Linked DNA regions of Arabidopsis thaliana. The protein of the gene in region 1 interacts with the protein of each later gene in a pairwise test. Each region holds a gene or a part of one and is shown in the gene's direction. Other genes may lie near its edges. The genes, in order: AT3G44590, AT1G55880 and emb2004.

Region 1 (9,043 bases):
GCTTAGCCTGTACGATGATGTTGTAACGGTGTTTCAAACACTTGGTATGGGACGGTATTGGGAAATGGATGAGGATGTATATCCTAAACTTGTGAAGGAGTTCATTGCCACATGTCGCCTCACGTACGCGAATCCAGAGAACCCGAAAGCGAGTAAAGGAAAACTCACATTCTTTCTCAACAAACAGCATTACAGCAAGACATTGTTTGAGATCTGCGACATGTATGGATTTACGAAAGGAGAAGCGGTTGAGTTCCCGAAGTTGTCTCTTGTAGTTGCTGATGACTTTTAGAACACGATAGCTACATGAATATATAAGTCGCGCACAGCGAAGATAACACATATCAGGAGTCCTGTTGTGCGATATGTTGCGAAGCTTCTCGGTAGCGTTCTATACTTCAAACCGGTGATCACTGTTGTGCAAGAGATCGAGTTACCACTGCTTTTCTATGGGGTCAAACATCTACTAGACGCCTACTCCGATATTCCAGCTCCCGACACTAATGTAGCTGCGGTTTTGTGTGACACATTGGTGAAGATGAAGAATAATGTTCCTACATCAGCCGCGAAAAGCATTTTAGCTGGTATCGCAATTACTCCATTGTTCCTTGGCTGCAATCTAGACCTCTCTAGGGCTTTGTCATCCATTAAACGAGAGCGAATGGACTTGATCTACCTGATTCATACCAGTTTCACCAAGCCAAGAAGTCGACTGTACCAATTTCTAGGAAGGGACGGTAACACTTATTTCTGCAGGATATCCAACCAGCATATTATTCACTCCTCTCCGCGACGAACCTAGTGTTCAAACCTAACGAGCAGTACCTTGTTACCTAGTGTTAGACTGTCACTTGTCTACTAATCTAACACGGTCTCAGAAGGGTTAGGAACAAAGTACTGCTCGTTAGGTTCAAACACTAGGTTCGTCGCGGAGAGAAGTGAAGTAATATTCTGGTTGGGTATCGTGCAGAAATAAGTGTTACCTTCCCTGCCCAGAAATTGGTACAGTCAACTTCCTGGCTTGGTGAAACTAGTATGAATCAGGTATGTCAAGTCCATTCGCTCTCGTTTAATGGATGACTCAGCCCTAGAGAGGTCTAGATTGCAGCCGAGGAACAATGGAGAAGTGCAGTACAAGCTAAAATGCTCTGCACGGCTGATGTAGGAACATTATTCTTAATCTTCACCAATGTGTCACACAAAACCGCAGCTACATTAGTGTTGGGAGTTGGAAGATCGAGTAGACGCCTAGTCGATGTTTGACCCCATAGAAAAGTAGTGGTAACTCGGTCTCAGGCACAGCTGTGATCACCGGTTTGAAGTACAGAACGCTACCGAGGAGCTTCAAAAACATATCGCACAATAGGACTCCTAATATATGTTATCTTCGATGTGCGCGACTTATATGTTTCTGTAGCTATCGTGTTCCAAAAGTCATCAGCAACCGCAGGAGACAACTTCGGGAACTCAACCGCTTCTCCTTTCGTAAATCTATACATGTCGCAGATCTCAAACAATGTCTTGCTGTAATGCTGTTTGTTAAGAAAGAATGTGAGTTTTCCTTGACTCGCTTTCGGTTCTCTGGATTCGCGTACGTGAGGCGACACGTGGCAATGAACTCCTTCACAAGTTTAGGATATACATCCTCATCCATTTCCCAATACCGTCCTATACTGAGTGTTTGAAACACCATCACGACATAATCGTACATGCCAAGCACATGTAGAGAAGGTTTGGAAGCGACTCGCGTTGGCCTCACATCAATATGCTTCAAAGCTGCCAGTAGCTTTGTGTCTTCCTTATCCCATATGCCGATAACAGGACGCTTGTTAGGATCTTCTTTTGCCGATGCTCCGGAAGTGCTCGTGCGTGCTCGAGAAGTTCTTGCAGCGTTGTTTGTCTTTCCCATACCTTTTGCAAAAGAGACAAAGTGAAGTCAAGAAATCACTCAAAAATAAATCAAAGAACTTAAACATTGTATTTTAGTTATTAAAACTAAACAATGCATCATGAATAATCAAGTTCTAAGCTCTAAAATCCGTTTTTCTCAAAGTGTATGAACATGTCCGTTTTTTACCAAAGGGGAAATTTTCAGATCTCAAATTAGGCCTTAATCCAGCAATTAAAGGCTTAAAAAGGTTTCCAAAACCATCGTAGACAATAAGCTAGCATCAGATAACCCATAAACATCATGAAAATTCAAGGAATTGGAGATTTATCACTTTTGAAAACAGAACAAAAAAAGGGAATGTCGAGCACATACCTTTGCAGATCCAGAAAACAAACAGTAGATATGGAAAGAGGAAAAGTCTGATTGAAATAGGCACCAAATTTGACAAAAACGACTAAGAATTGAGAGAGTTAGGGTTTAGTGATTTTGGTGTTCTTGATGAACAAAAAACGAAGAAGTTGAAGTGGAGCTCTTGAATGGCGAAGGAAAACTTGATCCGGTGATAAACTGTTCGTCGTTCCGGTTCAATTTAAGTGGAGTTTGGTTCAATTCCGGTTAGCAGAAATCCAATCGGTTTGGATTAATTGAGATCGATCTACTGGTGGGATCGATCGATCCCGTTCTGGCTGATGATGTTGAAGCTCGAAGGAACGACTGGATCGATGATGTTCTAGCAGATGATGTTGACGCATTGGTATCGATCGATCCCCGGCAACGGCGCCAACTTGATTGCTCGAGTAATTGCTCGATAAACTTAACCGCAAGGTAGTATATGCGAGGTCGATCCACAAGGACCAAAGATACTCTAAGGATTTCCGAGACTCGTTCTTAGCTAAAGCAAAAACGTTGTTTGTTTGGTTTTTGAATTATAAATTAAAATGCAAGAAAATAAACGATTAAAATTATGGATTAAAGACATTGGGCGTTAGGGTATTTCAAAAGACAAAGATTAGCATAATAAACAAAATAGAGAATTCAATTATGAAGAATCGTTCTGAAACATAAACATAATTCTAAACTAACTCTCTCTCGAGATACTAGCCACTAAATTTGACTACTCAACTACTAAACTTTCGTTTGTAGTCTCCTAATTGGCATTAATGAGTTGGTTTATTTAGTTCACAATGCGTTCTAACGTCAACTTTCGATGGCTAGAAATACAATGCTCAATTTATATTCGTTTAGGCATTCTATCGAACACTTTTAATGCATAGAAAAACCTAAGTTCTAAAACAAGGTGATCAATCCTATTCTAGCATTAAGAACACATAAATTGAAGAACCTAAAGATTGAGAATTCCCTACGACAGCTTAGTTACTAATTCATTGACTTCCTACTTAGAACCCTAAAACCCAATTGTTACTCAGACATTGCAATAGAAATCAAGCAAAGAGATATGAAAGAAAACATGATTCAAATAGAATAATTAAGAACAGAGTTTAGAAATCTTCTCCAAATTGTCAAGAAGGATGAATCTCTAATCCCCAAAAGTGCTTACAGAAAAGTTTTTAGAAATGTTACTGAAAAAGAAGCGTAAAAAGATAAATTAAGTTCCTGGGGTTTTTTATACCCAAATACAGAAAAAGACATATAAACCCGGTTAAGGAAATTCGGTCTGGTTATCGAGAGTGTTGGATCGATCGATCCCGAGCTGGCGGACATTTTACTTCGGTGGATGAGTGGTGGATAGATCGATCTCCACCTAGGATCGATTGATCCCGAGCTGGCGGATGATTTGTCTTCGACGATGAGTTTTGGATCGATCGATCTAGTGGTGGGATCGATCGATCCAATGTTTCTGACCCCGGTTTCTCGATTCCTGCTATCGTTTCTTGTCCAAATGAGCCCGATAAGTCCCGAAAACATTTGTGTTCCGCTTAAACACCTAAAACCTGCAAATGACTCAAGACACAACCGAAAAGACGCAAAAGACAGACTACGACACGACAAACTACTCAAAACTAAGAGACCTAAGACACCAAAAACGCAACATATCATATAGTTTAGCGTTTAATTTCAGAGTAGTTAAGCTTAAGGTTCATAAGGTTTATCAATTTGTGATTACTTGATGATTTGGTAGAATGTGAATGATTGCGTAGGGTATAAACGTATAGTTTATGGTTTTGATTAAATGATTGATTGCTTGAATGTGAATGCATGAGATATATTTGGATTAGCATTTGTCTTTGAGGAAAGCGTACATAAAGAGCGAAAATTGGCCAATTGATGGGTTGTTGGACATCAAAAATTAAGAAATTACTTGATTGTATATATTTAAATTTCAAAAATATATTCCTTACCAGTATAACAGATATCGTGTTATTAGCATCAATAAATAACCATAAATCAGTTTTTCGCTTATGGAGAAAACTCTAGTGATCGATTAGATCGGTTTCTAAAAAAGTTATAAGTGATCGAGTAATGAACAGTTTAGATGTGTGGCTAAGCAGAACCGTAGCCGAACCGAAGTTTCTAAAAATACATAATAATATACTAAACCAAACCGTATCTAAACCAAAGTTTCTAAAATAATCGAATGGTTAATAAAACCCCTATTCAAACTAACCAAAATCAAAAGGGAACCGAACCAAACAGAACTGTTAATCAAATGATTAATCGGAATATCGAAAAACCTAAAATATTCAAAAACCTAAATGTTCATAATTGAACCCCACAAAAAAAAAAAACAATTGAAGGTAACACCGGAACCGTAGCTAACCGGAAACCGAAGAAAACCCTAACTATATATAATTAACTCATCATCTTCTTCCTTCATTTTCGTTTTCACTTTCTCCGAACAACCAAAAGCTTGTAGCTTCCTGCTCCTCAAATCTTCTTGGTAACTCTTCTTCCAATGTCTCTCAATCGATTCCCTTGTGTTTAATTCTATTTCTGAGTAATTTGATTTGGTTTTGGTTTTGTATTAAAAGCAGAAAAATGAAGGTTGCCGCTGCTTTCCTCCTCGCCGTTTTGGGCGGAAACGCTAATCCTTCTGCTGATAATATCAAAGATATCATCGGAGCTGGTAAATTTCTGTGCTTTTGAATTTGTTTATGAATGTGTTTTGATTTTATTGGATTGTGTTACTGTGATCGGCGAAGTAGTAGCAATGATGATTTGGGAAGATTCTGTATTTGCTTTGTTTTAGCTATAAGAGTTTTAGTTTGATTGTTGAAGAGTATAAGAACAGAAGATAGTTTTGTTCACTGTATATGATTCATTAAAGGACTTTGTTTGTTATGTTTTGTTATGTAGTTGGTGCTGATGTTGATGGAGAGAGCATTGAGCTTCTATTGAAAGAAGTGAGTGGTAAAGACATTGCTGAGCTGATTGCTTCTGGTAGGGAGAAGTTAGCGTCTGTGCCATCTGGTGGTGGTGTGGCTGTTTCAGCTGCTCCATCAAGCGGTGGTGGTGGTGCTGCTGCCCCTGCGGAGAAGAAAGAAGCCAAGAAGGAAGAGAAAGAAGAGTCTGATGATGTAAAGCATTTCTCTCTTTATCATTTTGTTTCCTTATTACTTAGTCTTTGTTATGGTCTTGATATTGGTCTTTATCTGACTCTTTGTTATATCCTTCACCTTTGATGCAGGACATGGGATTCAGTCTCTTCGAGTAAGGTTTTTGTCCCCACGGAAAGGAGTCGAGATTTGATTTTTTGTTCTCTTAGTGGTTCTGGTTTTTGCTTCTTGGATTACGAATTTTACTCCTTAGATAATGAAGCAAGAAGAGTTTTTTCAACTATGTTGCGACCTTGCGGGTTATTCATTTATCGTTTTCCGTTTGATTTACATGTTGAATCTGGTCTAAGCTTGTAATTTACATAGTTTAGTTCATAGTATGTTAGCATATCACAAAATAAGTGCCTAAGAGGGCTAGAATTTGATACACTCATGGAAAAGTTTATCTTTAGTGATCCCAAATAAACAGAAAAATCCAAATCCAAGTGAAATTGAGATTCTATGTTATTAACTTCAAACATTGGTGTTGTCGTGTTGTCGTTTCAGACATAAACCCATGAAGCTTGGATAAATTAGAAGAAAGTAGATCAACTCTATTTCAAGAAAATAAGAGGAATTGAAGTAACATTAGAAGTTGAAGTCTTTTTGTTCACTAAGCATTCTCATAAAATTTGTTTGACAAAAACATAAAATAATGTTTAGTGTCAAGAAGATGATGCCACCAACTTAACCTGATCTGCTCGGGTACAACAAACATATCCCACAGTTCGATCCATCTCCGCAAGAACAACTTCCCAGCATAGAACCAATCACGGGGTTACGGATCAGCATAGATTGTTCACTATCTTTGAGACAGTAGCAAAGATGCTAAGATTTCGGAACGGTGACATTAAGTATCTTCACATCTTGGTAAGGCCTGTCGTTCTTGTCTGTCTTCACTTTCTCTATACCCTGTTCATTTGGTTTTATGGTTAGGCACTAAGTCACACTAAGCCAACAAGTAAAAATATTCTTTTTGGTTTTCAAATCATACCTGAACGACGTCCATTCCCTTCACAACTCTTCCAAAAACAGTGTGCTTATTGTCTAGCCACGGTGTAGCCACTGTTGTGATGAAGAACTGAGACCCATTTGTGTTTGGGCCGGCATTTGCCATAGACAATGTGAACGGCCTGTCATGCCTTAGACTGCAGGCCAAGTAAAAGAACAACGTATCAAACTAAGTTAGATTTCATTTGTTTCTAAACGGATGGCTAAACTCAAAGCAGCCTGTAAGAAATGTTTACCTTTTGTGAAACTCGTCCTCAAATTCTCTGCCCCAAATTGACTGTCCTCCAGTACCATCCCCAAGAGGATCTCCAGTCTGTATCATAAATCCTCTGATAACCCGATGGAAAAGGTGGTTATCGTAATAGCCATTTCTACAGTGTGTTGTGAAATTCTCCACAGTTTTGGGACATTCTTCTGGGTAAAGCTTCATGTGAATGTCACCAAGCGTAGTATGCATTATCTGGATGATTAGGAGTTAAAAAGAGTTATTGTGTTAAGGATCCAAATTACAGTACGTAATGAAAAGTAAAATAGATACCAACATTGTGGGTTATGAAAACATACCACGTTCTCTGGAAGGGATGTTGTGGCTGAGTTTCCAATATCTGAGACAGACATAAGTTCATCAGCAGCAGGCTTCTCGTTAAACACATCTCTCCCTTGGCTTGCATCTTCAGGTTCTTCTGGCTCTCTCCGACTGCAGAAACCAATTTGTTGATAATAAATTCAAAGTAGTTCTCGGGATATCTAGAGAAAACATATGAGGTCTTTCTACAAAGTAGAATCTAAAGGTGCGAAAAAATAATTCTTTCTCCCACAACATAAAGATGAGTCATTCTAGCACAATATGAGTCACGTACCTGAACATATAGATCCTGTGTTTCTTAAAGGCACAGCATAGGATAGTCGGATCAGTCAAAGGCTCCTTGCTTTCATTTACATTTGCTGCAGCTGCAGGAATCTTTCTAACTTTCTTGCCTCCTTGATCACCTTGATATAATGCAACTCTCAGATACCTTTCATTACTCTCCACCTTTCCAAGGATCCTTGCAACTGTGTTGGTGTGTAAATTTATTACCTAGAGAACAAAAAGGTAGACAGAGAAATTAGCAGTTGCTTGTCATGATTCCATTTACTACGCATGGAAGAGTTCTGATACAATCAAATCATAAAAACTGGTCCGCTTTTACATAATGATCTGCTGAAAATACATAGATATTGAGGGTTAGTGATAATGGAGCTCCTCCCACTACCCCTTAGACACCCAAATTTACAAAAAAAATCTCAAGCTTCTTTTATTCTAAATTCACTATATTGGCAGAAAGTATAACCACTTTCATATATGGTACAAAGAAGTAACCACATTATATCTTGGTCATCACCTAAGTAAAGGTGAAAATCCCAGGTCTTTAAGCTCGTTAATTGTATCATGTGCATGTGAGACAGGATACTTATCATGTCTAGACTGTTATGCTAGTCTATGGTAATTTAAAACGAAAACAATAAGTGGATTCCTTACTTTTATTCCAAGAAAAGTGGCGTATATAAGGAAATTAGAGCTTTCATCAAACACAGCATTGGGCTGCGGAGCACTCTCGGTTTTTTCAAGTTCCTTTTCAACTGCCATTCTTCTACCAAAGTCAATAGCTTCAAGCCTGTATAAGGGAGCATCACTCCTCTGCAGATCTTGGGCCACCTAATAGTGGAATGGATCATTAACCATGACAGATTAACGTGAAAACATGTAAGGAAAGAAGCATAGAGTATGTAACCTTACCACAAGTGACTCATCATATACCCGCCTCAGTTTACCAGTTCTAAACCAGAACACACGAATCCTACGATCAGGAGCTGTAATGGAAAACTGTTTACCATCTGGACTCACCTGAAAAGAATTTCACTAAACTTAGAGACCAAATTTGCATTATGATTTTCACCAGACATATCAATTGCTAATAGCTGCATTCTAAGGATGTAAAGAAAAACCAAGGATACTAAATGCCAAATAAGTACCTCAATGGCAGAGATTGTTGTTTTGCACTTTATAATCTCAAAGAGATTTGTATCACTCTTCAGTTTAAAGTTTACCCTACAACAACAAGTAAAAGGTCAACCTGTGAACCATTAATGAAAGCAGCCCATCAACTATACTGAAATTCTAAAGATGGTCAACTAAGAAGTTGGCAACTAAAGTATTTCTACTACAGGCTCCTCTTTGCATCATTCTCAGTAATATGATATTTAACTACATTAGCCACACGCAGAAAAACAGGTATGCTTCTCTTATCCTACACGCTCCAATTTATAGAAAACAAACAGCAATACCGAAATGGAATAATAAAAGCGTTTTTGATAAGAAGTGAGACAAGGACATACTCATCCTCGGGAAACTGTAATGTAGTTGCACTCCAGTACTCAATGATTCCTTTTGTGTCACCAGAGATCATTGTGTCCGAAACAGGATTGTACTTCATGACCTTAATTGGATTCATATGTATCTGGGTATACAAAGATTAAAAAAAACTGTTAGCTTTGATAAAAAATGATGAGTCAAGAAATAACAACAAAAGAAAAAGAGATTGAAACA
Region 2 (10,521 bases), on another chromosome or scaffold:
GTTCTCATAGAAATTTTCTATGTAAAGCAGAGAGAAAGACGAGGAAAATTGGGTAACATAAAAACTCTTTGATGACAAAGACAGTATTTTAATTCGGATTTTACCTAATAAATCCATAGCGAAGAACGGTAGCTCATGTTCCTATTTTATGGTGTGCACCATCAATGATGATATAATTGTCTCTCGCTCTATACATAAATCTTAGATCCTTTAACGCCTCCAGAATCGACCTTGTCCCAGTTGTCCTTGCTTTCGCCTGCATAGAGATATGACACTCTTAGTGGGACACTACCAACAGATTTTGCATTGATACGATAGGGTAAAAAAAAAGCTCTGATCGACTCACTTTTGATACTCTATGGACCTGTCAATGAACTCTTTGGCAATATCTTTTCTCTCAAAAGAGGCCAGAACCGGTCTGATGTCTGCTGGACTGTTACGTGCAACATCTGCATAACCCAAACAGGAAGATCAACCAAACAAAATTGATACAGGCAGTTCACGGACTGGAACAGAACTTATCCCTCAGTTCACCAATACTTACATTCAAGGAAGGGTATCAGGTCAACTAGGGCTGTGTCATCAGCTTCTAGTTTGTAAGGCTTGATTGGCACGCTATTTTCTGGCTGAAGGGTTGATTCAAAGGCATTTGCGCTAACAAACAGAATCTTCTTCGGATCTCTGTTCAGCTTTGACAGATCCTGCAGCAGGAATTTTAATAGTTAGTTGAGAAACAGTTACTCGGGCAAGTCAGAAAGTATGCTTTGACAAGATAAGCTAGCTGCTTACGTACCCTATAGTGCTTTCCATTTTCATATTTAGTAGCGCCTCTTGCTAGCTTATAACGTATGTAGCCATTTGGGTCTAATTTCTCACAGACCGGGAGTACATACTACAAGTAATGAAACAAGCGTTAGTAGTCGCATTACTATGATATTACAAGCAAAAAAGGAGAAAAAAGAAAAACCAATTGGGACTTTACCATCTCCATCTGGTCAGAATACACGACAATCTCATAGAATTTCCCAAGATGCTCCAAGAATGCATCGACACCTGGTCTTTTGAATGTCCTCCACCCTCTTTCCCGCTAGACATTTTTGTAAATGAAAAGGCAGGAAAAGTTAAATACAGCACTACTTAAGAAAACAAAGTAGTTCACCAGAACTGCTTTGTTTCATAACATAGATACTCTGAGTCACATATTCACATCTATGATGCAAGTATTTTGATGATCAGTAAATAAATGAAATGTTACCTTCCAGTCAGTGTAAAGCAGTGTCTCATTTAAATCAAGAACTAGAGTGAAGACATGCTGTTCTGCGGGGTGCAGATCCGGAAGAAGCTTTTCCGAGAGAGGTTCCGTGAAGCCCTATAAGGAACCAGACAAAAAATAAGAATTCTAGAAGAAAAAAGAAGATGCAAGAAAAAGAAAAGTTGTGTCTCGGTGAAAGGACGTACTTTCACTTGTTCCTCCACAATTTCCCTAAGCTCTAAATACTTATCAATGGCTCTAGCAGAACCTGATCAAAATTCAAGCAAACCAACTCATGCTATGCTTAATTAAAGACATACTATTAGTTATGATGACAGAGGCGCAAGAACTATACCTGTCATTGCAGCAGAGTACAACTTAGTCTGATATTTCTGCAGAAAGATGAGTATAAAGGGTATTAATTCAGAGAAGCTTATAAACAATACCTTGAAGCAGAGAAACATGGCAGCACGCATTTGAAAGCCAGAGACTAAAGAAAGTCAACTAATACAGAAGCAAGTTATGATCAACATTAATTTGACAGCGACTCAAGGCTACCAAGCTTACTCACATCAATCACATCAATGCCAGAAGATTTAATAACTGGTGTCTTCGTAGCTGATTCTCGGAACGCCTTAGTCTTTTCATTCACTTCATCTATCGTGTAAGCTGCATAACGAAACAAACAAGTATAATCAGAACTAAAAAGAGTCAACATAACGAAGAAAGACACAGTTCTACCAAGTGAAGAACACTGAATTCAAAAGACTGATATGTGAAAATGTAATGCAATGCCACGATTAAGCAAACCATAACACATTTTTACTCGCATTTCACAGCAAAAACAACTTTGTACTAGAAATCTACGAGAGGGAAAAAAGATAATTCATGAATGCAAGTACATACCAAAACTTGCGTAACCAGTAGCAGCGGTAGCACCAGTGAGTGCCCAGAGGAGTGCGTAACCAAGATACTTAAGACCTTTCCTCTCCTTTCCCGTCGCAGCCGCGGCAGCAGCTTCCACTTGAGGAGGAGGAGGAGGTGGCGGCTGATTTGGCGGTGGAAAATCAGAAAACATCGACTGGGTAGAGGTGACTCCCGAATACCTAGATGTAGAATTCGTCGAAGATGCTTCCGCAGAGAAACATCTCAGATTACGAGATCTGAGCTTTGCTAATCTTGGCAACAGGCGAGATCGAAGAACAATAGACGCCATTTCCGATTTCGGCGTTTTCTTCAAACTCTGTGAATGATGAATGAATCGCAGGGTTGAAGTAGGGTTTTGGAATTGATCGGAGAAAAGGAAAATTAACAGATGGACTGTTTGGAAACAGGTTTTATGGGCTCGTTTTAACTCTCTTATCCACTGTTTGGTAGTCGGTTTATTTCTACTCCGATATTTTTCTATTTTTTTTGCTGTTTTTTTTACTTGTTTACCAAGAAGAGAATCTATTTTATTTTATTTTTGCATTTCGGGCTTTTAATAACTAATTAATGAAGTTATTTTACACTATTTATTTACCAAATAAAATGAAAATATTTTTCCAACAAAAATAATAAATTCATTCGTGTCAAAAAGAGAAAACAAATAACCAAAATTTATTAAATTTGTAGGGTTTCTTCTGCCTAAACCTCGACTACATGCTGTTTTTTGCACCAGTGAAATAAGCGAAACTACATAGAAAGAAACAAGTCTTACTTCCACAGAGGAAAGTTTAGAGAAGTAGAAAAGCCACAAAGCAACACCAGCAAATACATATAGCTTAAGCTGCTCAGACACAATTCAACGAGACACTTAGTGAGAGAGTAGCAAATGACTTACTCTTCCTGGGACGGCAAATTTAGCTTCAACTTTAAGAAATCATTGGTCTTTGCAATCTTCACAATCTCCTCAGCTTCTTCTCTCTTAGACCCTTTCACCAATTCATCAACTAACTGCTGCAACGTTGTTTGACCGACAAGATACCGCTTACTGAATGTCTCCTTGAAGAGCTCAATCGCAGACTCAAAGTCACCTGCTTTACACATAGCAGGAAGCAATAAAGCAAAGGTAGCTTTATCAGGACGATAACCATGCTTCACAATTTCTTTGTACCACGCTTCAGCTTCGTCCATTTTTCCTTCGTTGATAGATCCTCTAATCATAGCATTGAAACTGAAAACATCAGGTTTGAGCCCACTAGCCTTAAGTTCTCCAAAGAGATTTACTAGCTCTTTCGATTTCGCCTCATTGGCTAATCCAAGCAGCCTAGCATTGTAAGTCCTGATGTCTATTGCTACATTCTTCTCCACCATTTTAGCCCATATCTCTTCCCCTAGCTCAAACTGTCCCTTTAGATACGAAGACAGTAAAAGTGTGTTGAATGTAACTATATCAGGTTTTAGTCCCTTGTTCTCAATCTCATCAAGCAATGCAACAGCTTCAGGTAAAGAATCCTTCTCACACAATGCCTTAATCAAAGTATTGTAAGATACAATATCTGGTTTGATTGATAACTTTCCAGGTAACTCATTGAAAAGTTCTTCAACCACATCGAATTTCTTGGAAAGTCTATATGCACTAAGCAAGGCATTGAAGGACAACACTGACCTCTTGCAGTCTCTGTTTGGCATTTCTTCGAACACCTTCTGTGCATTTTCAAACATGCCGGCTTTTCCATACAGAGAAATGATCCTCGCCGCGAATCCCTCTTTTGACATGTCGCGGTACTTCTTCTGCTCCTCCAAAATCTCTTCGACATAGTGTAATCTCTTTGCGGCTACGAGACGGCGCACGGTTCTATCGTACACGGCTATGTTGGTCCGGAACCGCTCCGACTCACATGCCTTCTTGAATTTCTCCACGATCCGTTTGGGGTTTCGTTCGCCATTCACGAGACTGGTTAGTGACTTTTGAGGAGGCGAGATTGCGGCAGTGACTGCGGTGGGTTCGGAGACTACGGTGGCGGCGGAGGAAAAACGGCGGATCGGGCAAGTGTTGAAGGTGCCACGGAGAACGCGAGATAGAGACGACATCGTTTTGGGAGTGAGAGCAAAGGGTTTCAGCCTTCAGGAGACGAGTTTAAGAACAAATCAAATGAAGGACGCATCTGATAATTTAAAAAATGTTAGTGCCTTATTTTTAACTAAAGGAAATATTGGGGGCTAGAATAACAAATAATAGAAATAGTGTTGTTTTGCCGACGACCTAATTTTACTTCACCGGTTTGATTACGGGAGAAGGCGAGCTTGAGCTTCAATGGCGCCTGTTAATATGACTGGCGCTGTTGTTGCAGCAGCGGCGTTGTTGATGCTTACTTCTTACAGCTTCTTTTTCCGTCTCTCCGAGAAGAAGAAGAGGAAGGAGAAGTTGACTATGAGAAACGGGCTTGTTGATGCCATTGGCAATACTCCTCTGATTCGTATCAATAGTCTCTCTGAGGCTACTGGATGTGAGGTTTTTCTCGATGTTCTTTTGCTATTTTCTGTTTGGTCTGACGAACTGATAGTGTGATTTATGAGTTAAAGATGTAATTTTCATTCTACTTGTTTCGTCTGGTGATCAGATTCTTGGGAAATGCGAGTTTTTGAATCCAGGAGGTAGTGTTAAAGATAGAGTTGCTGTCAAGATCATTCAAGAGGTACACTATGATTAGCATTGTAAAGGTTTCAACTTTTAAAAGTTTTTTGATCATCATAAACCTCTCTTAACAATGTCAGTGATTGAATCATCAGCTTGGCTATTTATATTAGTGGTTTTTGAAATCGAGAAGCAAGTCCATTATGTTTTTTTTGTTTCTCTGTTTAGGCTTTGGAATCTGGTAAGCTATTCCCTGGAGGAATTGTAACTGAGGGTAGTGCAGGAAGTACTGCCATTAGCCTTGCTACAGTTGCTCCGGCTTATGGGTGTAAATGTCATGTTGTTATACCTGATGATGCTGCTATTGAAAAGGTTATATCTTTTAAATACCTTGATGATGATTCAAATTCCCTTGTATGCATTATTGTACATACACTCAAATTTGTATCGTGTTGGACTTATTTTAGTCTCAAATAATTGAAGCCCTTGGAGCTTCTGTTGAGAGAGTGAGGCCAGTGTCAATAACTCACAAGGATCACTATGTCAACATTGCGAGGCGACGGGCTGACGAAGCAAACGAGTTAGCATCAAAGAGAAGACTAGGGAGCGAAACAAATGGCATACACCAGGAGAAAACTAATGGTTGCACGGTTGAGGAAGTGAAAGAGCCTTCCTTATTCTCAGATTCAGTTACCGGTGGCTTCTTTGCAGATCAATTTGAAAACTTGGCAAATTATAGGGCTCATTATGAAGGTACTGGCCCTGAAATCTGGCACCAGACTCAGGGTAATATTGACGCCTTTGTTGCTGCTGCGGGTACAGGCGGGACTTTAGCTGGTGTTTCAAGGTTTCTTCAGGTATAATTACTCAGGGCTTATACTAATCAAAGATGTAAGAATGAGTAATTCGTGGATGTTATAAGCAAAAGAAAAACTCATAACTTGTTGGTGCATTTATACAGGATAAGAATGAAAGAGTTAAATGTTTTCTGATTGATCCTCCTGGATCTGGTCTGTACAATAAAGTAACACGGGGAGTGATGTACACAAGAGAAGAAGCTGAAGGGCGTCGGCTAAAGAACCCATTTGATACAATAACAGAAGGGATCGGAATCAACAGGCTTACTAAAAACTTCCTGATGGCAAAACTTGACGGTGGTTTTCGTGGGACTGATAAAGAAGCGGTTGAGATGTCGAGGTAGTGCTCATTCCTTTATATGTTTTGACATAACTGTTTTAGAGAGTACTGATAAAGATTTCGTAAAAGTTGGATCTTGATATCTTTCTCACTATATTATGTTCCCAGGTTTCTTCTGAAGAATGATGGGCTCTTTGTTGGAAGCTCCTCGGCTATGAACTGTGTTGGGGCAGTAAGGGTGGCTCAGACCCTTGGTCCTGGTCACACAATTGTCACCATTCTTTGTGATAGCGGAATGAGACATCTAAGCAAGTTTCACGACCCTAAGTACTTGAATTTATACGGGTTAAGTCCAACCGCTATCGGATTAGAGTTCCTCGGCATAAAGTGAAACTACAAATCTGTTACAATATCTTCAGATCAATCAAGCCTGGGTGGTCTGCAGTGGTTTTGTTTTGATTATGTTTTAGACTAAGGGTGATATATTCTTGGTAAGACTTCAGATTAGAAGACAACAACTATGTCTAGAGTCAACGGAAGAATGTCAATGCAACAATGCATGTGTCTGACCTCTAAAACTCCCATAACTGCATCTTACACCTGTCTTCTCAATTGTTTACAAGTCCCGACCTAATGGGGCCCCTTACAAGATTATGGGAAACATGTATTCAGATTTTGTCTTTGTACCTATTAGATTTTGTCTATGTTCAATGCATTAGACTGGAAAACTCAAAAGTGTTGATAAACATAGATTTCCATGTTTTTCCATAAATAAGTCGGTTGTGTAAGGTCTCATGATCCCAATAATGGCAAGAAATGGAGTCAATAAGACACTATTGATCTTATCACTTTCTTTCTTGAAGAATCTATGCATGATCCCAATCTTGTTTCTCTCTAACGTTCTCCACACGATTGCCGTGTGTAACAAGGAATCCAAATCTTATCGTCATGATCAGGAGGAGCTTAAAAGTCTGGAAACGGAAACCAACCTACATGAAGAAGAAGAGGGTTTGATAGAGATCTGTCTGGTGAGAGAAGCAAAGTTGGAGAGTGTGAAGAAACGTTGGCTGAGTAGAGAAGATTATTACGAGGAGATGATGATCATGGAGATTTGGGAAGAACTTGAAGCAGAAGATAACTTGATTGAGATTGACATCTCCAACAGATCAATTGTTTGACTTTATTAGTACTGATAGTTCTAGATGTTTTATCCGCACATTATTTCATATGTTTCATTATCAAAATTTTGGTCATCGCAAAACATATTATCTTGTATTATATTATTGCGTTTCACGTTGACAAAAAAAATGTTAGATGGCATAGTTAATTACTCGTAGCAGTTTCGACTTCAACTCTATTGGCCAAAAACGCATCAATCAAATCCGATGCTTTGTGAGTCACAGTGACTGTGTTCTCCTCTCTTGTCTCAGTCTCGCATTGTGCGTTGGGTCTTGTTCTTGATTTGACACCAACTGTTTCAGCTTGGTCAGAGAACATGACCTCTGAGACGTGTGAGCTGCAAATCTCTTTGTATGCTTCGTAGTCTGCAGCTCCAGTGTTTCCTCCTTCAAGGATCTTGGATAAAGGGTGAAGAACTGAGACTGGACCGTCGCTTGACTCCAGCTGCCGCTTGAGTGCTAAGAAGTCCCAGACAAGTTCTGAGTTCTTAAACAGGACAAAAACCGCAGAGTCGTCCACGTGGTAGACAGAGGTGACAGAAGCAGAGCCAAAGGCTTTGCATATGCATTCTTTGATCCCTCTCGCCTTAAGTTTTCGTGGGAAGTTCCAGATGAGGACAATGTTCTCGTATTTGAACTTTGAGACTCGCCAGTTATCTGCATTACTATGGCCTGTTCGAAGGTCGATGATATCACCTCTTGTCCAGCTGAGATAAAGACGGTTGATGTACTTTTCAAGTTTCTCGTTCTGGGCAAAGTCATCTAACTGCGAATGCTGTTTGAAGTCAAAACCGAGATGATTGCATGCCTGCGCAAAGATGCAACCTGTCATGAAAGCATCATAACCGGCTTCGTGTTTTCCTCCTGCATTCCAGTTAGAACACCTGAAATAGAGAAAACAGCCGTTAAAAGCAGTTTAAATCAGAAAACAGTCAAGTGTCATGCCAAAAATAGGGAGGAACAAACCTAACGTTGTCTATTTCAACGTCAATATTGACACGCTGCTGAAGAAACGAGTCAGAGCTTCTTGAAGAAAACTCGATTTGCGGACATAACGAGGAAAACGCGGAAGACAGTGATGTACTGGACTTTTTCATCCGCTGATGCAACATTGGATTCACGTTTAAGAGTATTTTGGTGTCAACAATATAAGGAAAGTGACTGTTAATGGAGGCCACGAATTTCTCAGCTGTTGAAGGAAGAGGACCCACAAATTTGCTGTATACATGTGCAATATCTGTATCAGATGAACAAGATGTTAGAGTTAGGCATCTTTAAGTTACAAAACCTTCACAAACGTATAGAGAAGCAACTTGCTAGTTTACCGAGGAAACAATTGTGACCAACGATCAGCTTTTTCTCTGAAGCAAGCAGATCAATCACTTGACGGAACCCGATTGCAGATTGTATTTTTCTTTCTGCCAATCTCTTGCGTTCGTCCTTTGCCTCCTTCTGTGAAAAGAGACAGTAATGGTATCTAAATCAAAGAAGGCCTTTAAGTAGAAGAATCAGTTACTACACTATAGCTACATCATCTCTCGAGCCTGAACTTTGCTATCATCAAATAATTCACTTCAACACTCTCAGTTAAAATCCAAAGGACATGTAATGTTTAGTAACAAATCTTTCCAGCAACGTAAATGCTACCTTACCATGAGGTTTTCCTTGTCGGAATCTGAATCAGTATACACAACAATGTCTCGTGAAGAAGAACTTTTATCATTTGAATGTATGTACACAAGATCTCCAAAATGCTTTCTTAAAACCTACAAAGCCAAATCCAAAACCAACTGATTAAAAACAAATAGCCTGAAGAAAAGATGTAAAACAGAGAGCATTACCGAGTTAAGAACTCTGAGCTGATGAGAAGTGAAACCCTTCAGACTGAGAGCAGGACGCATATGGTGAAACACAGTTTCCATACTCTGGTTTGAACCATTTGAAATCCTCGGAAACTCAGAGGACGCATTCCCACCATGTAACAGGCCAGACCGCCATTCATTCAGCAATTTCTCCATCCTTGCAGCGAAAAGAACATCTGCCAATCGCACCAACTTTAACTCTTCAGTTTCACCCGATGAATCAATTCCGTCCTCGCCGTGTAGCATTTTCAAACGCTTACTTGCCTCTTCCTCTTCTCGTCTGGACAAATAAGATATTCCTGGGATTATTTAAATATATGTGAATTCCTCACATTCTGGAAACAAACTTGAAATTGCTACACTTTTTCTCTCTTTAGAATCAAAAATGAAAAGGAGAAAGGAAGCACCTTCATGTATGCAGGTGTTGAAATCAAACTGATACTTGGCAAGAAAATCCATTGATGTAGTCTGACAGAGAAATTCATGAGCTGGTGGATCAAATGTGAGTTCTTGACGAGGAAATACAAAGAAATTGTGCCTGCCCCCAAAACGAGACCCGTTTAGTCAAAGCTACACAATTGAAGCTAAAGAGAAAGAGAAAGAGAGACTAACGGGTAGGACACGAATGACTGAGTACGAGAATCCCAACGAAAGGGACAGACACCAAACTGAACGACGGCGAATTTCTCGGCGGAGTCTTTGACTTTGAGGTATCTGACGTCGTAGCGGTCGAACTCTAAGGAGTCTCGCCACGGAGCGCTTGTCACGCCAGTCATCTCAAGGTCAATCGCCACGAAATCTGCAGCCTTTACGAGTGAGCGTAGATCATTCAGCGTCGTCTCGAAGTTCGACCTTGTCACATGCTTCAACGGAAAAGCCGCCGTCGCTGAAGCTGCCGTTGAAGTAGTAACTGTCTCCGCCGCAGAGGAGCTGAAGCTGCAGACAAGAGACCTCAAAGGCCATCGCTTGTGCCGGCGCATTTTTGAACGGAGAGAGAGAGAGAGAATCAAACGACCATTTTTAGGTTTTGCTCTCGGTGGAAGGAAAGAGGGAAAGATGATGATTCCGAGGAAACGGTACCGTTTTGTGAATTTCAGTCTTTCGAAATATACACTTGCACAGCCTGCCGTTTCTAGGTTAATAAATACTGCAAACATTTGTCTTAACATGACTTGAAACAGCGTGATGTATTTTATTTTCCCGATGAACAACAACAGGAACCAAATTCTCGCCACTGCTCTCTCACACAATGGCTATTGCAGAAGAAGTTACTGTCTTTGCTGAGACTAGCTTGGGAACTCGAATCGTCATGGCGGTTCCTCTGGATATCACAGCAGCAGATTTCAAGAGTAAGCTCGATACCACCCTCTAAAGAAATTCCCTTTTGGTCTTCTCTTTCGAATGTTGTTTCCCGTAGCCTACTGTTCTTATTAAGTTTTTGGTCTTCCTCGGTTTCTCAATTTCGAAACTTAGCTTATAGGTGAACTGATAGGATTCTCTAATTGAATCTTTCTGGATGTATAATGTGTTGGT
Region 3 (12,186 bases), on another chromosome or scaffold:
CTAATGATCTTCAACTTTTGTCGGATGCTCCTGCTCATCATTTGTTTGTGTTGCTCGGTATGCAATTGTTCCTCCTTTTCATAGCTAGAGATAATCATCAGATTTAGAGTATTGCCTTATTTTCTTTTTGGCACAGGTCCTGTTGATGAGTCCAAAAACCAGCTTCCTGACATACTGTGTGTTATTCAGGTATCGATTTCTTACTTTCTGCTCTGCTCTTTGAAATTGTTTGTTTGGAGAAAAACAGTTAGTTGGACTAAACAAAGAATAAAAGCAGCTATCAGTCTGCTTGAATTGTTTGTTTGCAGCAATTTTGTTTTGTAAAATCATGAATCTCATATCTTGTCGTTCGTATGTGATTGATTCTGGATGTAACTGGTCTTAAGTATCCTTGAAATTGATATTTATGCAGGTCTGTCTCGAAGGACAGATATCTCGGAAATCAGCTGAAAAAAGTTTAAGAGAAGGTCATTCACCACATGGAGATCAAATACCATGGAAGTTCTGTGAACAGTTCCGGGACGTGGTCTTTCCAAAGCTTTCTGGTGCTCGTATAGTACGCATAGCAGTCCACCCCAACGCTATGAAGGTAAAGTTTCTTAGTCGCCTCATTTTTTTAGTCTTGTAGGTTTCTTGTGAGATTTAACAAATTCTTGATTACATTCTATGTAGATGGGATATGGGTCTGCTGCGGTTGAACTCTTGACCAGGTAAATGCAATGATTACGACTTAGATGATTAATACATGCAAATATTTTAATTGATTGATACGTGCAGATACTTTGAGGGTCAGCTAGCTTCAATATCAGAAGGTGATGATGAACTGGAAGTGGAGCCTTCACCAGTCAGAGTTACCGAGGCTGCTGCAAAGGTTCTTGATTATTTTAATCTACCCTTGTAGGGTTTTGCATCATGCATTCTAGTTCTTACTTGAATTTTTTCCCTTAGGTTTCTTTGCTTGAGGAACAGATAAAGCCTCGTGCCAATCTTCCACCTTTGCTGGTTCCTCTTCGTGATCGACGACCTGAGAGACTCCACTACATCGGTGTCTCTTTTGGGCTTACTTTGGACCTCTTCCGTTTCTGGAGAAAACATAAATTTGCTCCATTCTACATCAGTCAAATACCAGTTGAGAATCCCTCTTTCCCTCTTCTCCTGAATTACTAATTCTAGTGTTGTCTAGCAGTTCATAACACAATTTCTAAAATATGGTTGGATCAGAGTGCTGTGACTGGTGAGCACACATGTATGCTTCTGAAACCATTAACCTTAAGCAACGATGAATTCGAAGTTGATGAGTCGGATGAACTGGGCTTCTTTGCTCCCTTCTATAAAGGTTTGTAAATTCTTAACAGGAATCAAATGTTTCTGTAGCTTTTAAGGATGACAGGTTTTGTTTTAATGTTTTGGCAAATTCTTCTACTCTGTTCAGATTTCAGGATAAGGTTCTCTAAACTGTTGAGTGATAAATTCAAGAAGATGGATTATAAACTTGCAATGAGGTTAGCACTAATCATATTCTCTCCCCATGCAAATTTAGACTTTTTCTGCAATACTATTTTAAGATGATTAGACTTTTCTTGGTGCGGTATTATTGTGTTGATAATATACTCGTTTCACAATTTTGTTAGTGTTTTGAACCCTAAGATCAACTTCCCAGAGGTTGATTTGACTGGAAATTCACCAGATGGATTTTTGAAGAAACTCGACGGAGTTCTTTCACCTTATGATATGGAGAGATTCAGAGCATACACTGCCAATCTCGTTGACTTCAATCTGGTTAGATTCACTCTCTGAGAGTCACTTATTTTAGGGAAATATGTACTATAGTCAGATATGTAATCTGCTTAAATAACTACACAATCATAAGATTCTGGTACAGACTCAGACAAATAATACTAACCGCATGTTCAAGCTTGATACTCTGTCTTTTCGTTTGGTTTGGTAACTATTTTTACTTTGTTATCTTTTCAAAGGTTTATGACATCTGCAAAACTCTAGCTCATCATTATTTTCAAGAGAAGCTCCCAGTCTCGCTGTCGTATGTTCAAGCTTCTGTACTCCTGTGTTTGGGCTTGCAGGAGTCAGATTTCTCGAGCATCGAGGTATAACATATCTACTCTTTAAAATAAATCGATGATCTGGACCAGCTGAATTATGTTTCACCACACATGTGGAGATAAATTTCTTGACACATCTGGTTGTTCTAAATTGGATCATGACGTTGACTTACAGAGACAAATGCAGTTGGAGAGGGGCCAAATATACTCTCTTCTATTGAAGGTTGGAAAGAAGTTATACAAATATTTGAATGGAATCGCAACAAAAGAGCTCGAATCCACCTTACCTCGGTTGAAAGATGTAAGTTCAGATGGGAAAACTTACATAACATTTCCATGTTCTTTTGCTCAGTCATAATATTCCCTCATTTTTGAAAATTAACAACCCTAAGCCCTAAATACATACACGAATATCGAGCTGACTGAAATGATTCATGGTTGCTTTTGGTTGCAGAGAGTGCTTGAACCTCACAAAGTATCAGTAGACGAAGATCTCAGGGAGGGAGCAAAAGAAGTTGAGGTAATCGCTTCTGTTTCCGTGCATGCGTATATTTTGTTTTGGTTTCCATGTAAAATCGAAACACCACTCACACTCTCAATGCTTGGGTTTAAAGGAACAAATGAGGGCAAGGATAGAAGAATTGTTGGACCCTGAGCTACTTGACCAATTTGCTATTGGGGACAAAGAAGCTGAGGCTTTGCAAAAGTCGAAGATCTCTTCAAGTGGTCTTATCAGTATAGAGTCCACCAAAACTGATAACAAGAAAGAGAAGCCAAGTGGTTTTGATAAATCAGCCAAAAAGAGAGGCAATGATAAGCATTCCTCCACATCCAACAAAAAGAGAAGAGCCTGAGATGGAGGTTGATGTCAACAATTGTTTTTTTGTAACAGTGACCAGAAAATTTTGATCTTTGGTCTTTTTACGAATTTTTGTAACCAGGTTGAATAATTTATTAAAATTATGGTTTGATCATACAATTTTTTTAAAAAAACTTACAGATTCTGTTTGAGCATTCTACAACCATAATACAAAGTTTTCTATTAACTATAACTATATTGTTTATCTACTGCAATGTGTGAAACTGGTTCACATCTCGGCAGCAAAAGACTTCCCACATCCACAGGTTTGTGTAGCGTTAGGGTTCGAGAAAGAGAAGCCTCCACCAATCAAAGCATCGCTGTAATCAAGCTGCATTCCAAAAAGAAAGAGCATGCTCTTTGGATCACAAACTGCAAAAGAAGTGAGTACAAATTAAAAACCTGAGCCTTCAATTCACAGATGTAAAAATACTTTACTGCAGAAGACAACAAGAGACTGCAAAAGACAACAAGAGACTAGAAGTCTCAGTTCAAGAATCGGCAGCTAAGTAGTATATAATTCAAGCTGCACATCAAAAAGAATCAACTGACCATCTACTTGACAATAAAACTTTAGCCTATTTGATCGAACAATCTCAGCCTTTTTTTTATTTGGATGCATACTTGAACACAGAAACTGACATTCATATTGTAAGTATGGCAAGTCTACATCATCAAGAAACTAGCTGATCTTACTCTCAGACCTTATTATCTCAGATTAGAAGAGTTGATCCTACATAGTGATGGAATAGTTTTTACCTATAGTGAATCCCTGGTATTCGATAGTGGAATCATCTGGTCTTGCATTTGCTCTGTTTTCAAAGTCCATCGTGTAGGACATACCCGAGCATCCTCCTTGTTTGACTCCAATTCTCAAGCACAAATCTTCCCCACGTTCTGATCTCATCTTACTCAGATGCTTAAGTGCATTTTCTGACAGAGATATCGCCGGCTTCAGTCCCTCCATTGCAGGTGCAGCTGAGATATTCAAGAGCACAAGTCACTACACTTTTTGAATTCAAGAGCAGAACCTCACTACACATATCTAAGTAACAGCTATTACCATCTTTTTAAGAATTCTCAGACATCACCAACGAAAGTTATCAATTTCAATAGAAAGTTTCTAATTTTAAAACCAGAATGGCAATAACAACAAAAACAACCCAGAAAAAATAAAAAGGACTCTCATAGGAAAATAAAGCAGAGCAATTTTGTGAATCAATTCGAACCTGGAACCGAAGCGGATCGAACAGAAAGGCGGTTTCTCCGATTGAGGTTGAGATTCACATATGACAAAGAAGGAAACGAAATCGAATTACATGAAACCACAGAACGTAGACTTGTGTTGGAGATCTTTAGACCAAGAAAAGTTGGATTTGAAGACGTCGTGATTCCAGTAGCGAAAGCCATAATCTTCTGAGAATTGAATCGCCGAGCTGAGGAATTAATCTCTCTGCTGATTCAAATGCGTGTAGTAGAAGAAGACCAATGAAAAAAACAAATCTTTTTGCATAACAATTTTTTAAGTCCACATGTTATTTGTTTTCAGGTAGGTGATTGATTATTTTTGTTATGAACCCTAATAAAGTCGTTCTCTTTCGAATCTATCGGGTCATAAATTTAAACCCGATTTCGACCCGGTGGATAGTCGGGTCACACCCGTACCTAAAGGAATACACACACACATAGCGCGAAGGAAACAAACTTCATCTTCATCATCGTCTCTTCTCTTCTACTCCAATTCGTCTCTTTTAGTCTCTTACACTTTCCTAATTCTTCAGTGGTTGGTTTTCACACAGCGAGAGTTTCAAGCGTCTATGCGTAATTAAGCAGCTCCTTAATGGCTTCTTCTTCCACCAGCTCCCTCAATCTCCACTCTCTCCCCAAGGTAATTCTACTGTTCATCCTTTGTTTTTTTTTCCCAATTCTTGTAGCTTCTAAATTCGGTTTCTTTCTCTGTGAATTTTGAAGGCTTCTTCTGGGTTGGGCCAATGGAAGAGTGGGTTCCGGTACGAATTGTTGGGTAGCTCCGTTTCTAGGAACCGATTGTTTGTTTCTCCTGTGGTGATTCATCACCGAAGTCCGAGACTTCCGGCGATCAAAGCGGCGTATAACTCAGATGGAGGCTCGAAGCGTAGTAGGGTTTATAAGGAGTCACAAGCGGCTAGTGGTTTTCCTAATGCTAAAGTGCAGCAGATTGCGTCTTCCGTCTTGCCCTTGGGATCATTTGCTGTCGTCACTTTCGGTACGAGCATTGCTAGGAGAGCTAGTTTTGTTTATCCGTCACTTCTCAAAACTTGGACTAGTATTACTGTGTTTTCTTCTTTCATGTGGAAGTAATAGAGCGGAAATTAGTTTGCTTGTCATGTAATTCGGTGATTGCTATCTATACGAGAATAGTAATGATAAAAGTTTCGTCTTTTCTCTCAAATCTTCTATACTAATTTGTGTTTTCAGCTGACAGTTTTGTGGAAAGTGGTTGGGAAGTTCATGTCGCCTAAGTCTCCAAAGACTTCTGCTGGAGAAAACAACTCTTCTACACAGGGAGTGAAATGGTCGATCGGGGCCGGTACTAATTTGTTACAAGGATTTGCTGCTAAGGTTGATAGAGAGGCCAAGCAGAGGCTTAATGAATTTGCAAAAGAACTTAGGTCCTTCAGAAGTGTTGACATGTCAGGTGCATTGAATGATTTTAACTGTTATGACATTACTTATTACTGATTTACATTAGAATTAAATGTGATCTGTAGTGCCATCTTCCTTTTGTCTTAATATACGCAAATATAGCTCACCTGTATATTTTATCTTGCAGGATGCAACTTTGGAGATGAAGGATTATTCTTTCTTGCTGAAAGCCTTGGGTATAATCAGGTTATAGTTCTCTCCTTCTTTCACATCTGCTATCTACCAACTCATTAGAGTCCTGATATTCTTATGTTGATTGACTAACCATACCCATGTTTGTGTTTCAGACTGTAGAGGAAGTCAGTTTTTCTGCAAATGGAATTACAGCTGCAGGAGTTAAAGCCTTTGATGGTGTTCTTCAATCAAATATTATGTTAAAAATTCTTAATCTTTCTGGAAACCCTATCGGTGATGAAGGAGCTAAGGTTAGTGGAAATATGATATACTAGTTTTAAATTTAACTTCCGGGTGTCCAATGGTAGAAATTCCTCAGTTCCATCAAGAGAAGAGATCATATCGATTTCTGCTTATATCTTTAGCTCTAAAATCACATGGAACTTATTCTCTATGTATACGTTTCTGGCTGAGAATGGTTTCGCTTCATTTTTTCTGGTTATGGCAGACTTTATGCGCTACACTGATGGAAAATTCTAGCATTGAGATACTTCAGCTGAACAGTACTGATATAGGAGATGAGGTTTGTTTGAGCAGATGCTTTGATTTACATGCTTTTCAAGCTCCTAAGTTAGTCACAATCCTTCAAATTGTTTTCATACGTTAAGTAGTTCCAATGTTCTTGCGCAGGGTGCAAAGGAAATCGCAGAATTGTTGAAGAGAAATTCGACCTTGAGGATTATTGAGCTGAATAATAACATGATTGACTATTCTGTAAGTTTTTTCTGTTCATGTGTTGTACAGTTATATTTCAGATTGACATACCAAGTTTATGAATTAAATCTGTTGCGTCTTCTTCCCTTCTTTTTTTGAAATGGAGGTAGGGATTCACAAGTCTTGCTGGAGCTCTTCTTGAGAATAATACAATACGCAATTTACATCTCAAGTGAGTTTAGGACTATAGATGGATATATCTTTTGGGCGTGCTTTTTTTATTTTGTCTGTATAGTTCATATCCCTGACATACCGATTTATGGATAATCTGTTTCAGTGGAAATTACGGTGGTGCTTTGGGTGCCAATGCTTTAGCTAAAGGGCTTGAGGGTAACAAGTCTTTACGGGTACAAACTTTCCTCATGTCTCTTTCGATGTATATCGTGTGCCATTTCTATATTAAAAGAGACATTTCATAGTTAGATCTGTTATCTTATATGATGCATTAAAGGTGATTTCTGATGTCATCAGAGACAACCAATGAATAAAGGTCATCAACAGTTGATTTATTCCCTTGGCCTTTCCACCTGCAGGAACTTCATTTGCATGGAAACTCTATTGGAGACGAAGGGACTCGTGCTTTGATGGCTGGTCTATCTTCCCACAAAGGTTTTCCAATAGAACACTTGTCATACGTCTATATTAACTCTTCCGTACCTCTACTGTAGAATTCAGTAGTTATACCGAGATGCATTTTCGTGTGCAGGGAAAGTGGCTTTGCTAGATCTCGGCAACAACTCCATTTCCGCAAAGGGTGCCTTCTATGTAGCTGAATACATCAAGAGAAGCAAGAGCTTGGTTTGGCTGAACCTGTACATGAATGATATAGGTGATGAGGTACATATATATCCAATTTATAACAATAATCTGGATTGTGTCTGTGCTTCTCTAATATCGGAAAACCTTGTCTCTTTTTGCTCTGTTGTCTATCTTAAAGATTTTCAATGGTTTCAGGGAGCTGAAAAGATTGCAGATTCTCTGAAGCAAAACCGTTCAATTGCAACCATTGACCTGGTGAGAAGTGACCATCTTCTCCAGCCTCCCTAAGTTTTCCTTGCGTCCATATCGAGCTATTTGTTCTGCTAACACGTTTTTGGTAAAATAGGGTGGAAATAACATCCACGCGGAGGGAGTTAATGCTATAGCTCAAGCTCTGAAAGATAATGCAATTATTACGACGGTCAGTGCCAAAAACCCTTCTCATCTTTGATTCCTTGTTTACGTATAACTAGTATGATAATGACACTACCACTCTCAATATTTCCTCAGTTAGAGGTTGGTTATAATCCCATAGGACCAGACGGAGCTAAAGCATTATCTGAAATTCTCAAGTTCCATGGAAATGTAAAGACGCTCAAACTTGGTTGGTGTCAGGTAAAGCCTGTCCATAACTCTTTATCTAGGAACAAAAGTATTTCTTCACAGTTACTTATTTCGTTTTGTCATGGTTCCTTTCATTTCTTATTCCTGCAGATAGCTGCCAAGGGTGCTGAACATGTTGCAGACATGTTGAGATATAACAATACAATCTCGGTTTTGGACTTGCGGGCAAATGGACTTAGAGATGAGGTTCCTGCAGACAGATTTTATGAGTATCAGATTTGTACTTCTAATATAGCTACGAACTATATGTTTTCATAATGTATGTGGTACGTTATTTGCAGGGAGCTTCCTGCTTAGCTCGAAGCTTGAAAGTAGTTAATGAAGCTCTGACATCTGTGGATCTAGGATTCAATGAAATACGGGTAAAAAAAAAGCGCTACTTCGTTTATCAATACTGTGTCTTCTTTTAAGACTTGTAAGCAGGTCAATCTTATTATTTTGCCTCATTTGTAGGATGATGGAGCATTCGCCATTGCTCAAGCATTGAAGGCCAATGAAGATGTCACAGTTACATCGATAAACCTTGGGAACAACTTCATCACCAAGTTTGGACAGGTAAGAAACATATGGTGCAATGGAGATAATCAAATCTTTCGCTCGACATTGCTGAGAAATTTCCCTTTTGTGTTATCCAGAGTGCGCTCACGGATGCTAGAGATCATGTTCTTGAGATGACTGAAAAGGAAGTAGAAATTTTCTTCTAGGAGAGACATTGAAGTGAAGAAGACTTTGTCACTCTGTAATTTTGCACCATTAGTTGTTGTTTCATTATTTATGACGTTGAAATGATTCAAGCGAGAGATAAAACATTTGTTGTTCCTTACGGTGAGATTTAATTTTAATTCAAGGAAGTTTTCATGAAAAATGGTGTTGACTAACAAAAGAGAGGCATTTTAAGTCAAAGTTGGTCGTTGAATGAGGAAAAAATTCATTCGGTTTAGAACAGGTTATTTCGGTTTGGTTCCGATTCGGTTCGTTGAAACGAGCGTAATTGCCTAATTGGGGTATTCCTGCTTTGAAAGACATATACTAGTTTGGTGGACAAAACTCGAGTGAGTTACGAGTAAAGCGAGAAAAATGGCGGCAAAGCGAGGGAGAAACCGGTCGCCGTCTCCGGACCCGGAAGGGATGTTCGCCGGAATGGTAGTTTTCATGGTTGAAATCGGAGTCCAGCGTCGTCGATTGCAGGTTTTACTCTGAAAATTTTGTTCAGTGTTATTTTACTTGCATCATCTTCGACAAATTTCCTTAACATCTTCTTTTTAATTGTTGCATGCTATGTCTGTAATTTTCTCTCTATTTGAATGAAGATCTGGAAGCAGAAGCTGGTTCAAATGGGTGCAGTGATCGAAGAAGATCGGGTAACGAAGAAAGTCACTCATGTTCTTGCCATGAATCTCGAAGCTCTTCTCCACAAATTTGGGAAAGAACGTCTCTCGCATTTTACAGCAGTAAGTTGGTTTTTCGTTCTTTTCAGTTTTTACTAAAAAATGGATTTCGTCATATAGAAAAAACAATCTTTTATAACTATCTGTTGTGTTGTTCATGAGTTTTCTCTACGATTAGATTAATTGGGTACAAGTTTTATCTACGAATAGAGATTATCCAGTGTTACAAGTTTATATACATTGGTTGTTCCTTGCAGCGCCTTATGCTTTACCAGTGGTTAGAAGATAGCCTAACTTCAGGAGAGAAGGCTAATGAAGATTTGTATGTTCTCAAAATTGACTCAGAAGAAGTTGATAAGCCGAAAAAGTCTTTGCCTGCAATAAGTGGTAGCGAGGATCAATCTTCACCTCAAAAAAGAACCAGATATTCTCCTGATGCTGGTGACTTCAAAGGCGTTGAAAGTCATAGCAATACACAAGGATCACCGGATTCACCAACAAGTTGCAGTGTTCCCTCTACTAGCGCCAGTCCTGGAGAAGGCATCGCAGAGACTCCCACTAGTCCACAATCAGAGGTAAGCCTGAGTGACTCCTTTGCTGATGCATCCTTTTGGTTCTTAGAAGTTAACTAAACAAAAACCTGTTTTCTATATCTGCATTTTCAGAAAGAAATAATGTTGTTGATATTGGAAGTTCTCATTGATCTTCTTTTGATTTGTAGTCCACATCGGTGTACAAACCACCCGATTTGAACAGAAATATCACTGAGATATTTGGAAAGTTAATTAACATATATAGAGGTACAATCTCTGGTGTTTGTATTCTAGACTACTCGCTTATAGTAAGTAAGTAACAATACTCTTTCTTTTTTTTCAAAAGCTTTGGGTGAAGATAGACGGTCCTTTAGCTATTACAAAGCTATCCCCGTCATTGAAAAGTTCCCCACTAGGATTGAAAGCGTTGATCAGCTCAAACACCTCCCTGGAATCGGAAAGGCAATGAGAGATCATGTAAGTTGAGAAATGCTTCAAATGTTTTGTCTAGGTTCTGTGTGTGGGTGTCAAAACTGCAAACACTTACCCTTTTCCTAGTGCATACCTATAACCTTTGTTTTGATGTATTTCTGTGAGAACAAAGTCTTATTCTTCTACCTGAATTTGGCAGATTCAAGAGATTGTGACAACAGGGAAGTTGTCCAAGCTTGAACATTTTGAAACAGATGAGAAGGTAATTTTGAAGTCCTTGGTTATAGTTATTTTGCTATCTCCCATTTTCAATTAGATACAAGCTCACATGTAGAGGCCATTTGCTTTTCTCTTGTTCCTTTTTCTCTTTAAAGAAAAATACTGTCAATGACCGAACTGGAGCTAGAGATGTCTGATATGTTTTGTTTACCACTATAAATGTTTCATTACTATGGTTGAAGGTTCGTACAATCAGTTTGTTCGGGGAAGTTTGGGGTGTCGGTCCTGCAACTGCACTCAAGCTATATGAGAAAGGACATCGCACACTAGAAGACTTGAAGAATGAGGATTCACTAACGCATGCACAGAAGTTGGGGTTGAAATATTTTGATGATATCAAAACACGAATTCCACGTCAGGAGGTGCGATTCTTAAACTTCAACGTGAATTTTGTTTGTCTTTATTATCCTTCTTGTAATTTTCTCCTCATATTTCTTCACTTTCTGTATTGTAGGTGCAAGAGATGGAACAACTTTTACAGAGAGTCGGCGAGGAAACTTTGCCTGGCGTATGAACTATTCAGTTTATCGGTCTGCTCCATATTTGGGTGATAAAAGTTTAGTGAAATCCTAACCAACATCTTTACTGCAGGTGAATATTGTATGTGGAGGATCATATAGACGTGGGAAAGCTACTTGTGGAGATCTGGATATCGTTGTCACCCATCCTGATGGACAAAGGTACCTACAATCTTCTTTCCTCATCTTCCTGCGTTAGTTTCCTGTAACAAAGTTTACTTAAACTGTTTTTTCTTATTGTCCTGACCAGTCACAAGGGATTTTTGACAAAGTTTGTAAAGCGTTTAAAAGAAATGAACTTTTTAAGGGAGGATCTCATCTTCAGCACCCACAGTGAAGAGGTAAGATGATCTGATAAAATTATTTAAGAGAGGATCTCATCTTCATTGAAAACACATTACTTCAGTTGTTTCAGTATCTTATAAAATGATCTCTTTTAGCATTAGATAAAGCTTTGTTCTCTCAGAGTTGCATGTGTAACAAAAATTCTTGTTCAATCACAGCTCCTCAATGATTTCCCTTATTGTGCAGGGTACTGATTCAGGCGTTGACACGTATTTTGGTTTGTGCACTTATCCTGGTCAGGAGCTACGGCGCCGTATCGATTTTAAGGTAACACCTGAAAACTCCTAATGTCACACAATGCAGAAAAGAACTAAGTGGGTTAGTCAAAGATAAAAAGGACAATACCATGATTGATTCAGCTATGTCTAGGTTGATCTCTTCCCGGAAGATCATTCAATAAATAGTCTTTTTTCATAGGTCTATCCAAGGGATATCTATTCGTTTGGACTCATAGCCTGGACAGGGAACGACGTGTTGAACAGAAGGTATGGATATGATTTCATTTGTATACATGTCTCACTAAACACATTTGTTGGTAGATAAAGAACACAGCATATGTATATATATATGCGATGATAACTGCAGGCTGAGATTGCTAGCAGAATCGAAAGGATATCGACTTGACGACACTGGACTATTCCCAGCTACTCACAGTTCTAGTGGTAACCGGGTAAGTAAGGGAGAAAAGTGAATTAACTTGATGTGAATTCTTGGGTTTTAAAGTGAAAGAATGATTATGTTGAAGCTGTGATAATGTTTGTCTCTCAGGGTGCTAGAGGAACTGCAAGTCTGAAACTCTCAACGGAGAAACAAGTT

Evidence for each region.
Region 2: the proteins of AT3G44590 (region 1) and AT1G55880 interact in a two-hybrid assay, tested with the Arabidopsis thaliana proteins (one large-scale study listed by BioGRID).
Region 3: the proteins of AT3G44590 (region 1) and emb2004 interact in a two-hybrid assay, tested with the Arabidopsis thaliana proteins (one large-scale study listed by BioGRID).

The regions. Positions count from the first base shown.
Region 1 is NC_003074.8:16,159,095-16,168,137, forward strand, and holds AT3G44590 (60S acidic ribosomal protein family), read left to right. Parts: upstream 1-4,614; 5' UTR 4,615-4,790; intron 4,791-4,881; exon of another isoform or gene 4,882-4,884; 5' UTR 4,885-4,888; coding exon 4,889-4,976; intron 4,977-5,206; coding exon 5,207-5,427; intron 5,428-5,537; coding exon 5,538-5,564; 3' UTR 5,565-5,903; downstream 5,904-9,043. Other genes in the region: AT3G44570 (retrotransposon ORF-1 protein), read left to right, coding at 47-261, 349-584, 659-741; AT3G44580 (uncharacterized protein), read right to left, coding at 1,418-1,909; CYP71 (cyclophilin71), read right to left, coding at 6,274-6,357, 6,440-6,593, 6,693-6,916, 7,021-7,153, 7,317-7,534, 7,976-8,152, 8,234-8,341, 8,470-8,545 and 1 more. UniProt on the Arabidopsis thaliana protein: Plays an important role in the elongation step of protein synthesis.
Region 2 is NC_003070.9:20,895,110-20,905,630, reverse strand, and holds AT1G55880 (Pyridoxal-5'-phosphate-dependent enzyme family protein), read left to right. Parts: upstream 1-4,383; 5' UTR 4,384-4,490; coding exon 4,491-4,688; intron 4,689-4,797; coding exon 4,798-4,872; intron 4,873-5,039; coding exon 5,040-5,183; intron 5,184-5,278; coding exon 5,279-5,668; intron 5,669-5,772; coding exon 5,773-6,008; coding exon of another isoform or gene 6,009-6,012; exon of another isoform or gene 6,013-6,116; coding exon 6,117-6,339; 3' UTR 6,340-6,838; downstream 6,839-10,521. Other genes in the region: TIM50 (Haloacid dehalogenase-like hydrolase (HAD) superfamily protein), read right to left, coding at 211-256, 347-449, 545-701, 794-892, 983-1,087, 1,256-1,369, 1,459-1,520, 1,608-1,644 and 2 more; AT1G55890 (Tetratricopeptide repeat (TPR)-like superfamily protein), read right to left, coding at 3,071-4,267; AHG2 (Polynucleotidyl transferase, ribonuclease H-like superfamily protein), read right to left, coding at 7,272-8,010, 8,093-8,363, 8,452-8,578, 8,779-8,892, 8,968-9,287, 9,396-9,526, 9,601-9,968.
Region 3 is NC_003070.9:3,457,012-3,469,197, forward strand, and holds emb2004 (RNI-like superfamily protein), read left to right. Parts: upstream 1-4,623; 5' UTR 4,624-4,759; coding exon 4,760-4,807; intron 4,808-4,890; coding exon 4,891-5,164; intron 5,165-5,383; coding exon 5,384-5,596; intron 5,597-5,731; coding exon 5,732-5,790; intron 5,791-5,891; coding exon 5,892-6,029; intron 6,030-6,226; coding exon 6,227-6,301; intron 6,302-6,408; coding exon 6,409-6,492; intron 6,493-6,602; coding exon 6,603-6,664; intron 6,665-6,769; coding exon 6,770-6,839; intron 6,840-7,025; coding exon 7,026-7,101; intron 7,102-7,198; coding exon 7,199-7,329; intron 7,330-7,446; coding exon 7,447-7,506; intron 7,507-7,597; coding exon 7,598-7,672; intron 7,673-7,761; coding exon 7,762-7,866; intron 7,867-7,965; coding exon 7,966-8,061; intron 8,062-8,156; coding exon 8,157-8,237; intron 8,238-8,328; coding exon 8,329-8,430; intron 8,431-8,510; coding exon 8,511-8,579; 3' UTR 8,580-8,775; downstream 8,776-12,186. Other genes in the region: AT1G10490 (GNAT acetyltransferase (DUF699)), read left to right, coding at 1-57, 137-189, 413-589, 673-710, 778-871, 949-1,128, 1,222-1,336, 1,433-1,502 and 5 more; CPISCA (chloroplast-localized ISCA-like protein), read right to left, coding at 3,149-3,291, 3,679-3,897, 4,149-4,329; Pol{lambda} (DNA polymerase lambda (POLL)), read left to right, coding at 8,953-9,063, 9,186-9,326, 9,521-9,838, 9,985-10,063, 10,143-10,273, 10,428-10,490, 10,690-10,869, 10,962-11,015 and 6 more.